3 linked regions of the Danio rerio genome follow. The main gene of each other region encodes a partner of the protein of the gene in region 2 in a complex. Links are inferred from orthologs where the notes say so. Each region holds a gene or a part of one and is shown on either strand. Other genes may lie near its edges. The genes, in order: prim2, pola1 and pola2.

Region 1 (2,595 bases), on a different chromosome or scaffold from region 2:
AATGAAGGTCTAGGGGTTTAGAACAACACGAGAGTGATTCAACTATTGCCATTTTTGTTGAACAAAACCTTTTAGTACTGTGAGTGAAACTATGAGATATTTTCATTTAAACACAGCCATATTCCTACATTTTCAGCAGCCATTGCTATTCAAGTTCCACTGGGAAGATTAATGAGTTGGAAAGACACAATTATGAGTTCAATAGCACCTTTTTGATTGAACCAATATTGCAATGTTCATTTTCAAACCCATTTCTCACTGCTGTCATTTTTCTTGTGTTTATTTGATTACTCAGAAGAAAGAGAACAGCACATATACTTATATATTCATCTCAGCAGTGTTGGCGTGTTACAGCCTCATTTTACTTCCAATCATTTCTGTGAAACTATGTTTTTACAGTTGTTTTGACCAATTTAATGGATTCTTGATGAATAACAGTATACTGTTTTATATTTTTAGAAAGGCCCAATGGGTGACCTTTAACTTGGTGTGTCCTGGTTTTTTTAGATTTCAGTACTTTGTAACAAAAAATAAAACTTAAGTAATGTTATGTAATTTTAATGTGCTTTTATTTATTCTTTTTTTTTTTTTTGGTAAAAACATGTCATTTGAGAAGAATCTTATCAATATAAAGACAAGGTAAAAACAGACATATGCAAGTTTTTCAATGTTGAAAAGACAGTTTGTGTCTTAAACAGTGAATACAAGTAAGAGCCCTGTATTTTCCTTAGGTTCTACAAAATCATTCATCCTGGAAGAAGGAGTCTAAATCCCCCATCTCCTCTTGGGCCTGTTTAGGGTTTGCCTGAGATGGACGGGACGCACTGGGAGGATTTTCTTGGCTTTTTTGTGACATCTCCACTTCTTTCTTGATGCCTTGGCCTCCACCCAGAAGCTTCTGGCTCTCTGTGAAGTACTGGTTTGGATGATTGAGAGAAAACCCAGCATCCTCAACCTGTAACAAACAAACAAGACAAAATGTAAGCAGAAGACAGAAGCTCCATCCAAAAATGCTAATTAAATTTATTTGCAAAACTAGAATATCGCAATAAAGCAGCATTTCCATCCAAAGACAACAAAATAGTCACTTCCTGATTAACTGGTGCCAAATACCAACAGTAAAATCGGAATTTGCAGCAAAAGCTGCATGAATCTTTACTTTATTTAATAAATGACTTGCTCCTCACTAGACAATGCCGACATGCAATGAACATGTGGTATCATTTGAAGGTGTGAGACGCGGGGCACAGACGCTCTTGACAGTTCTGGAGGTCATTAATAATATAACACTAATACTGAATACTGATACAGTTACTGCATTTTAAAGTGACCAAAACAACATTTCAGATGTTTTACCGTGTGCTCAGATGCTGGTTTCTCCATTCACACATTTTAACATCATATAATCTCACAGAACAAAATCACATAACTTTTTTTTTTGCGTATACTGAAGTTTGTTTAATTAATATGTTTCCATCACAGTTTATGCGCATTTCTTCTTATCGAACAAAACATTTATGCTAATTATCCAGTTATGCGCAAACATTTTTATGCGCATTTTGAAAATTGATACGCATCTTGGCATTTCCATCAACTATTTTTTATGCGCATATCCAAAATGCAGATAATAATAGGTGGATGGAAACATAGCTAGTGTCTCCAGTCTCAATATGAGGATATAAACAGAGGAACTTCATCTCTATACAGTAGCTGCCCAGACTGATCTTCAAAATTATGTGTGAAAAACTTTAATATCATCAACTCAAGCACTTTCATGACAACTCTTTAATTTAAGTTTAACCAAAAATAAAAACGGATAGAAATATATAATGTATTATACACTACACTAATACTAATTATTGTTATTGCATAAATAATAATACAAAAAATTTATATATATATATATATATATATATATATATATATATATATATATATATATATATATATATATATATATATATATATATATATAAAATAAAAATAAACGTTTATTGATTTTTCTTTTAAAGGAGTAATCATGGATCGGAAATAAAGGGAATGGTTACATTTAATTTTGACAAAGCGTTAAAACATTAAACATTTAGTTTTTTCATTTAATTTTAACATTTAATAAGTAATTACATTATTTTGACAACAAATTTATATTAAATCCTAAATCCAGAAAATGAAAAGCGAAAATGAAGAAATTAATTAAAAAAAAAAAAAAAAAAAAAAAAAAAAAAAAAAAAAAAAAATATATATATATATATATATATATATATATATATATATATATATATATATATATATATATATATTTTCCTTTTTAAACATTTCCAAAATTATGTTGAACAGAGCAAAGAAATTTTCACAGTATGCCTGATAATATTTTTTCTTCAGGAGAAAGTCTTATTTGTTTTATTACGGCTAGAATAAAAGCAGTTTTTCATTTCTTAAACACCATTTTAAGGACAAAATTATTAGCCATTCTTTTTCGATAGTCTTCAGAACCATCGGTTTACAATGAATTACCTAATTACCCTAACCTGCCTGGTTAACCTAATAAACTCATCTTTAAATGTCACTTTAAGCTGTATAGAAGTGTCTTGAAAA
Region 2 (3,659 bases):
TGAGATCGGGATTAAAAGATGAAAAGGCTCAGGGAGGAAATTATTAACCATTAAAATGGTCTGACATCTGGAGTAATGGAGGAGAAAAGATCTCATACCAGATCTTGTTGTGCCTTCTTGAAGAACTGCTTGTCTGGAACAATGAAGTCCCTCTCATGGAAAGCATGGAGCAGAAGATATTCATTCCTCTCAGAGCGTCCACCCATCAAAGTACGAGACTGCAAGAGAACAGCATTACAGAAAAAAAGAATTACACGCATCACTAGGAGTCATGCATCTCAAAAATACAAAATTAGAGAAGCACTGATGAATCAGCAGCCAAATTTTGAATTTTATATTGGGATTAGAGGGATACTGAATGTAGAATGAACATGGTCGGTATCAGAGCCTTATTGAAATCTGTAAGGCCTGACTGAAATTTCTTTTGCAAAAACATAAAATGCATTACAAAGTGTCACAAGTATTTAAACTTGTAAAAAGAATAATTTATATTTATTATACTAATAATTATAATTTATTTAAAAATAAAATTAAAGTAAAAATAAACTGTATATACACCACAAGAGAATCGATGGAAAAACACTTTACAAGCATGTGTGCATGGGTGTGTACAGTGCATCCGGAAAGTATTCATAGTGGACTAGAAACTGGAAGACTAGTCAGGACAATGTACAGAGATATCCTGAATGAAAACCTGCTTCAGAGCGCCCTTGACCTTAGACTGGGGCAATGGTTCATCTTCCAGCAGGACAATAACCCAAAGCACATCACCAAAATATGAATGGAGTGGCTTTACAACAACTCAGTGAATGTGCTTGAGTGGGCCAGCCAGAGCCCAGACCTAAATCCTATTAAACATCTCTGGAGAGATCTGAAAATGGCTGTAAACCATCGCTTTCTATCCAACCTGATAGAGTTTGAAAGGTACAGCAAAGAGTAATGGGCAAAGATTCCCAAATAATTATGAACAAGTGATTATTCAGTTTTTATTTTATTTTTAATAAATTTGCAACAATTTCAAAAAAATCTTTTTTCTCATTGACATTATGGGGTATTATGTGTAGAATTTTGAGAAAATATATTAATTGAATCCATTTTGTTATAAGGCTATAACATAAAAAAATGTGGAAAAAGTAAAGCTCTATGAATACTTTCCTGATGCACTACGTATGCATGCTAGTCCATTAGTTCATCTTACGATACTATACCAGGTGAAGTATCACAATACCAATCAGTACTGTGATACTACTCGAATTATCAAGGAATTATAAAGAAACTTGTCAGAATTACTACATTTTAGATGTTATAATAGGTCTACTTGAATTTAATACATAATTACCTTATTTTTGGAAAAAAACGTCGTCATTTGTTCGTCATTTCACCTAAAATGTATTAATTTTTTTTTTGTTTAATATAACTGACCAACAAAAATTACATTAAAATAAATATACAAATTATACCAAACGAAATTGGTTACAAAAAGATGAAGTGGTCAGAAATTGTTTCAATGTTTCATGTTGCTATTTTGGGTTCTTCTTCTTTTCTTTTTTTTCTGTCTTATCAAGTAACAATCCAAAGTAATTCAAAATGTAACTTTGTTCTTTTTAAGGGATTGTTGCAGCTGTTGTAGCTACTAAATCATATTGACAGGAACAGAAATGAACAGATTCAGGTGTGCGTTTGAAACATCAGAAAACATGCAACCTTAAATGGCTCCACAGACTATTCAAATAAAATGGTCTACTGTTGCACAAACGTACATATACATTCATGCTTCAATCTTTTTTTGTGAACAATTGTTTATTATTGTAACTTTTGAGTAAAGGTAAAATGCAACTTAAGATTACATTGTAAACACCCCCAAACCTTTACTCAAACAGGGGGACTCGTTCTATAATAACAGAAAACGTATGCTTCATTCTAAATACAAAAGTAACCAAGCTAAAATGTGATTAGCATTGGTGTAGTTATAACCATTTATAAATGTATCTTACCATGACATTACCAGCGATGTTAGTGATCTGCAGTGCTAGCGGGAGTACATTTAATTCGCACATGATTTGTAGAATGAGCTTAGCATCCATCCAGGTGAGCTCCAAAAGGTAGAGTAAATGTGTGGAATCACTATTGCAAAAGAAAGAAAGAAACAAATAGGAATAATTTAACCCTCATTCGTTTTCTTTTTATACCAAATGTTTTTGGACTTGAGGGGTAAACAGGAGCACCCGAAATAATATATCATATTATTTGATATACAATGGGCACTGCCAGGTTTAGTCTACGCTGCAGGAGAGGTCAGAGCTGCTGGATTTACTTATAATTTTCTTCAGATTATTAGAATAAACGTTCAAGAAACATAAACAGTGTATACTACATGAATAAAGCACATAGTCCAGTTATATTTAAAAATAATTATTATTGCCATCTCCATTGTCAAATCTTAAATTCTGTTTGCTTGCTTTTATGTGTATTTGAAGGTCTGAAACACAAAATAAAATATTTGTTAAACAGAAACAAACAATTATTTCTGACAAGCACCAGACCCTCGTTTTATGCCTCAGTGCCTTTAGCAGCTGATGATGTGTGCTCTGAACGGTGTGATTGTACTCGTGAAAGGGTTAACAGTGCTACACAACGGAAGCAGGACTGTGTGCAACCACACCTGTAGAAATTCCTGATGTTCTCTGGTGGCACCACCGGCCTCTCCGCCTTCAAGATCTGGGACACCAGCTCAGTCAGATTATAACTCTTGCACCGGATCAGCTCTTTGGCTGAAATTTCAATATCACAGACCAGGCGCCCACAAGTTGCGCTCTTCTCAGCAAAGCCACTGCGACCCTGTAATGCACAGATAGATTAAAAACACTGAATTCAAAATGTGCTAAGAGTTCAGTGCTTCCAAATAGTTCTCTCACCCCCAGTTTGGGCATGTTGGCTCTTCTTAGACGGCCGATCTTTGACCAGTGAGGTACTTTACACACATTGATCCTCTGCAAAAGCACTTCAAGGTCAAAACCAAAGATGTCATGGCCCTACAGCAAAAAAAAGGTGATTGAATTAAAAATTAATAAAATTCATCAGTAATATTCCAGTCAAGCATTTAATCTCACCACTAAGACATCTGGATCGATCTTGTGCATCTTGGCCAAGAAGAAGCCTAAAAGCGCACGTTCTGTACCAGCAATCTCGACAATGCCGTTCTGAGGTAAACAAACAAAAAAAGACCGCAGAGGTTTATTTAATGCTCCATAACCTCATGCAGAAATCAAAAATAATAGAAATGTAGGCGATTAAAAAAAATAACCTTTTTCCTAACTGCATCCTTAAAGTCATAAGGGAAGACACAGTCATTAGGCTTGCTCACCACTGCAAAAGAATGTAATTAGTTAAATATAACATATTTAATTATATGGAATAGTGCTGTCAATCGATTAAAAATTTTACTAATTAATCACACTTTTTTTTTGAAAATTAATGGTGATAAATCAAATTAAAAAAACTGAATCTTGTAATTTTGCCATTTTAAATGTAAAATTAAGGTAAACGCAAGACAAAAACAATTTATGAAAATATAATTGTTTATTAGAATTTTTGTTTAACTTGTAACACAGATTTCTTCATGTAAACAACATACCCACAATAAACTATCAAGATGCTGG
Region 3 (4,139 bases), on a different chromosome or scaffold from region 2:
CCAATCAATTTTACACTTGAACAACTAAATGAATGCTTACGTCTGTTTAACTGATTATAATTTAAATACATCACATCATCAATGCTGTAAAAGGAACCTTATGAAATTTAAAATAGCCACAGTAACCTTTAACCGGAGGTTAATCTGTGACTGAAAAACACTTGCAGACCATGCATTTTTATCTATCTTCATACATTTCCAACAAGTCTCCCTCATTATTCTGTCTTTATTTAGTCTCACCTTGGCAGGTGTTGAATAGGAATCCAGCATGTTCTCCTCTTCCTCCTCTGCTCTGATTCTGCAAGACTCAGTTAAGAAGATCACTTTGAACATTTATGAATAAAAATTAAACAATCATTAATCTTTATGTTGAGCTTTATGAGGATACAGCTCCTGGATGGAGTTGATGTCTCTGGTTTTGTTTATTTGGCTTCCCTTTGAGGTGCTTTTAGGCTTTTTCTTCTTGTTCAGTACCTGTAAGGAGTGCAGAAGCAGTATGCAAATTAGGGCTGCACAATCCTAGAAAAATTTGACATTGCAATATTTTATTTGTCTGTAATGTACATTGCGATACACTGATGCTATACAGTTCCACCAAATGACTAAATAGTTTTTTGGTCACACTATTTTAAGGTTCAATTCTCACTCTTAGCAAACCCTTATGACTTTTGCTTCAATAAACACCTAATTTGCTCCTTATTAATAGTTATTGTGGTTGTTTGTAAGAACTAATAAGAAGCCAATATATCAACAACAAGCATGCTAATAAGCAATTTGTTAATAGTGAGAATTGGTCCCTAAAGTGTTAACAAATGTATTATATCTGTTTGATTGGGATGATTTTAAAAGGGAGTAAATCGCATAAAATGTAGTACACTACAGGCATAGATAAATGCAACAAAGCAAAAAAAGGTGTAATAAACAGTGCAAGCTTTATGGTTTTGTATATGTAAATGTAAAAATAAATTACACCGCAAAGTCAACTCAACATTGCATATCTATGTAATGTGACTGAGGATTCACACATTGCAATATCAATGCTGAAAAGATATACAGGAATACTGTATTGTTTAGCTCTAAAGCAAATGAAGCATAGAAACATTGTGGATCTTATTTTTGGCATCTCAAAGCACTGCAGAATTTCAGTTGGAGTTTTTAATGTCATTTTACTAACTTCTTGTTCAAACTGGTCCAGGTTTTCGAGAGTGAGCGGCAGCTGCTTTCTGGTGGAGCTAAAAGCAAACCACTCGAATACAATTTCTTCACCCGTCAGCCTGTGACAAAAACACTGCTCCAACACTACAATAGAAAAAAAAACAAAAGTCATGTGTATTTAATTGAGGTAAAGTTTTTCGCACATTCGTTCAGTGACAACTTGTGACATGCTCCCTTTATTGTTCACCGTGGCAGGGCTCAACAAGAAGATGGCCCAGGCCAGCGTGTGAAATGCTCAGGACAGTAGACAGGATTGTTACTGGCCCAATCGTACCAGTGCTTACTAAAGTTTAATTTGCCTGCGACAATGTCAATTGCGTCGAAATACAGTCTTAGAATCGAGAAACAGTTTGTGCTGTTAAGCCTTTAAATGCTACCTTCTCTGTGATATCAAAAACACCATATTGCTTTTCGGGTCCTCTTATGTGACTAGATGTTGTGAGCATGTTTTTTTTGTTTCTGGTCTCAGCGACGAGGCGGTAGCATAAAATTATGAGGCTAAACGAAAACGTTTGTTTCTAAATTCTTAGTAGCAGATGTGGATACAACACAACGAAAAAAATGAAGTAATGTTTGCACAGTTAGTTTTCAGTTTGGCAAGTCAGCCACCATTTGTTAAATAATGTAGAGCTGCAATAAAACACCGGCACATTTTCCATACTGCTCTATTTGTTTGCATAACACTTTGAATTTTGCTCACAATACATTTTAAAAATATATACATCTTAGATTATTTTTGACACATTCTTTAAAATGTGTGGCTAAAAAAAATAGCAATTATTTTTTTTTTGGGTGGGGCCAGTAAAAATATTGGCAGAGCAAGAAAATATCTTAACCACTTGGGTTAGTTGAAAACTCTGCATGGTAATTTGAATATTCAGTCTAAAATCACATGTAAGCATGACTTGAAAACAACACTGGTACTATTTATTTGACTCCAAACAATGTTGTACTTTGATAGTCATTTGCTGCTAATATGATTTCAGTTTTTTTTTTGCAATAAATAATTTCTGAAGTTATTATTATTAAGGAGAAAGTCCTAATGTGTGAACATAAAACCAAATTTACCTCAATGTGTATTTGTAAGTACTTGCCTACAAACACACAACCACATACATGTATATTTGTGTGTTTAAAATTAAGAGATGCATATATTTTAGAGCATTAAATCATGTCAACAATACTAAAATCACACACAATGAATAGATTGGACATTTACTTTTGTCGATGGTGTCATTGTTGAAGGCTATGTTGAAAGTGTCCAGCTCAGACTTGATGTCCTCTGCAGTGACTGAAGCCATTGTTATTGTCCTCTGATGTTCAAATGTAAAAAAACAACCTCCTAAAAAAGAAAACAGGTTTTTCAAAAACATTCACACCACACAATTATTAAAACGGACTTATAACAGTCAGAAATGTTAAGTCTCTCACTAAATACTAACGTAAACACAATGGCGCTCTCGCGAATTCACTTATTTAGCTTTATAAACAGTTTTACTCAACATAACAGCAAGTTCGAAATAAGACAATCCTAATGAACACGTTTTAATGACTTGTATGACAAGATTACCTTTTATTAAACGTCAAAATCAGCTGTCATATTCCTCAGCAGTCTTTGCATCACGTTCGGATTGCCGCGAAAATGTACTACCCGCAAAACCCACTGAAAGGTCACTTCCGGTTCCTGCACGTCTCCTCCAGAACGGCAGAGGGAGCGCAAGGTCAACCGCAACCGAATTTCCTCCCAGATCAGCTGAAAGGAAACAGAATAAACCCTGTAGCTTCTACACGTGTTTGTGGTGCTGTAAACGTATAAGTATTTTTGTGATTTACATCTTACTTTTCACTGTCGCTGATATTATTTGTCAAAATGCCGAAGGTTAAAGCCGAGAAGAAGTCTCGAACACACCAGGAGGTGAAGAGTCAAGGTTGGTTTGAAATGTTTTAGTACTGCATGCTGTCAAACCATTTAATCAAATGTCCCCTTATAGATATAATAATCAAAGTTAAACCTGTAATATATTTAAAATTTAAATAATATAAACCTTTTAGAACTTGCTAGTAACACTTCCTGGTCACTTCTTACTCCAAAACAGAAGAGGAGGCATTATAGCTATTTTTAGGTCCAAAATGTTTACTTTCATTCATCTCATGTATATAAATTAATCCCAGTTGTTTTGACTTATTTTATACAGTATTTGCACCTCTAAAACACCAGTTAACATTTATAAATTAAACCAGGAAATGTACAGTATATTTATATGTTTACTGTGTATATTCAGTTTTCTCACAACAGTGATGTCCCAAAGCAAAACAGTCGGTCTTACTCCCCATAAACACTGCACTATTTAATATTTATACGTATTCATTGCACTTTGTTGAACTAATTCATCTTGAATTGTACATGTCCACTGCACATATACGTTTGTAATTGTTCACACAGCTTAAATCAGAGTTTTATATATATTTTCTTTTTTTTTAATGTTTTAAAAATTATGTTTAACAGATCAAGGGAAATTTCACAGCATGTCTGATAATATTTTCTCTTCTAGAGAAAATCTCATTTGTTTTATTTCAGCCAGATTAAAAGCAGCTTTTAATTAAAAAGAAACATTTTGGGGTTAATATTATTAGCCCCTTTAGGCTATATATATTTTTTCCAATAGTCTACCGAACAAACCATTGTTATTCAATAACTTGCCTAATTATTCTAACCTGCCTAGTAAACCTATTTAACATAATACTTTATGCTGTGTAGAAGTGTCTTGAAAAATGTCTTGTAAAATATTATCTACCTTGATCATGGCAAAGATAAAATAAATCAGTTATTAGAAATTAGTTATTTAAACTATTATGTTTATAATTAGAAATGTGTTGAAAAAAATATCTCTGTTAAACAGAAATTGGGAAAAAAAATAAACAGG

Evidence for each region.
Region 1: the proteins of pola1 (region 2) and prim2 are in contact, whole or in part, in a cryo-EM structure (PDB 8G9F), measured with the Xenopus laevis proteins. The link is inferred for Danio rerio from reciprocal best matches to the Homo sapiens genes POLA1 and PRIM2. Residues at the interface, in NP_001082055.1 of Xenopus laevis: Leu842, Lys853, Ile894, Pro895, Glu896, Leu971, His974, Arg977, Glu978, Leu981, His982, Glu985, Gln988, Lys989, Asn991, Glu993, Asn1007, Asn1009, Arg1101, Asp1102, Glu1106, Gln1109, Glu1221, Asp1224, Gly1225, Asp1227, Ala1229, Leu1230, Met1233, Trp1234; in XP_018121015.1 of Xenopus laevis: Pro34, Pro35, Thr36, Glu37, Asn38, Ile39, Ser40, Leu41, Ile42, Phe44, Glu45, Ile49, Ile107, Phe110, Ile111, Leu114, Cys117, Gln118, Ser119, Glu120, Asp121, Arg123, Ala240, Arg241, Leu243, Val245, Val246, Gln247, Arg251, Leu252.
Region 3: the proteins of pola1 (region 2) and pola2 are in contact, whole or in part, in a cryo-EM structure (PDB 8G99), measured with the Xenopus laevis proteins. The link is inferred for Danio rerio from reciprocal best matches to the Homo sapiens genes POLA1 and POLA2. Residues at the interface, in NP_001082055.1 of Xenopus laevis: Gln548, Lys551, His553, Gln554, Asn555, Phe642, Glu645, Val646, Gln649, Asn652, Leu673, Gly675, Arg676, Phe679, Lys1137, Asp1141, Pro1143, Asp1144, Ile1321, Gln1322, His1324, Asn1325, Lys1326, Leu1328, Leu1329, Arg1332, Ile1335, Lys1336, Tyr1338, Tyr1339; in XP_018112289.1 of Xenopus laevis: Met280, Tyr281, Lys282, Phe283, Met284, Phe285, Gln286, Lys287, Leu288, Met289, Ile291, Arg292, Val295, Ser296, Ile299, Glu314, Thr316, Leu320, Pro321, Gln323, Glu324, Thr325, Val326, Gln331, Gly333, Cys334, Asp335, Ser336, Asn337, Gly338.

Annotation. Positions count from the first base shown.
Region 1 is NC_133188.1:26,670,517-26,673,111, forward strand, and holds the end of prim2 (DNA primase large subunit), read right to left. Parts: intron 956-2,595; coding exon 743-955; 3' UTR 556-742; downstream 1-555. UniProt on the Homo sapiens protein: Regulatory subunit of the DNA primase complex and component of the DNA polymerase alpha complex (also known as the alpha DNA polymerase-primase complex) which play an essential role in the initiation of DNA synthesis.
Region 2 is NC_133199.1:27,774,786-27,778,444, reverse strand, and holds part of pola1 (DNA polymerase alpha catalytic subunit), read right to left. Parts: intron 3,367-3,659; coding exon 3,305-3,366; intron 3,201-3,304; coding exon 3,111-3,200; intron 3,033-3,110; coding exon 2,916-3,032; intron 2,839-2,915; coding exon 2,663-2,838; intron 2,125-2,662; coding exon 1,995-2,124; intron 219-1,994; coding exon 99-218; intron 1-98. UniProt on the Homo sapiens protein: Catalytic subunit of the DNA polymerase alpha complex (also known as the alpha DNA polymerase-primase complex) which plays an essential role in the initiation of DNA synthesis.
Region 3 is NC_133183.1:19,039,885-19,044,023, forward strand, and holds the start of pola2 (DNA polymerase alpha subunit B), read right to left. Parts: upstream 2,886-4,139; 5' UTR 2,786-2,885; intron 2,558-2,785; 5' UTR 2,517-2,557; coding exon 2,435-2,516; intron 1,300-2,434; coding exon 1,175-1,299; intron 475-1,174; coding exon 389-474; intron 299-388; coding exon 241-298; intron 1-240. Other genes in the region: dimt1l (dimethyladenosine transferase), read left to right, coding at 3,086-3,143. UniProt on the Homo sapiens protein: Accessory subunit of the DNA polymerase alpha complex (also known as the alpha DNA polymerase-primase complex) which plays an essential role in the initiation of DNA synthesis.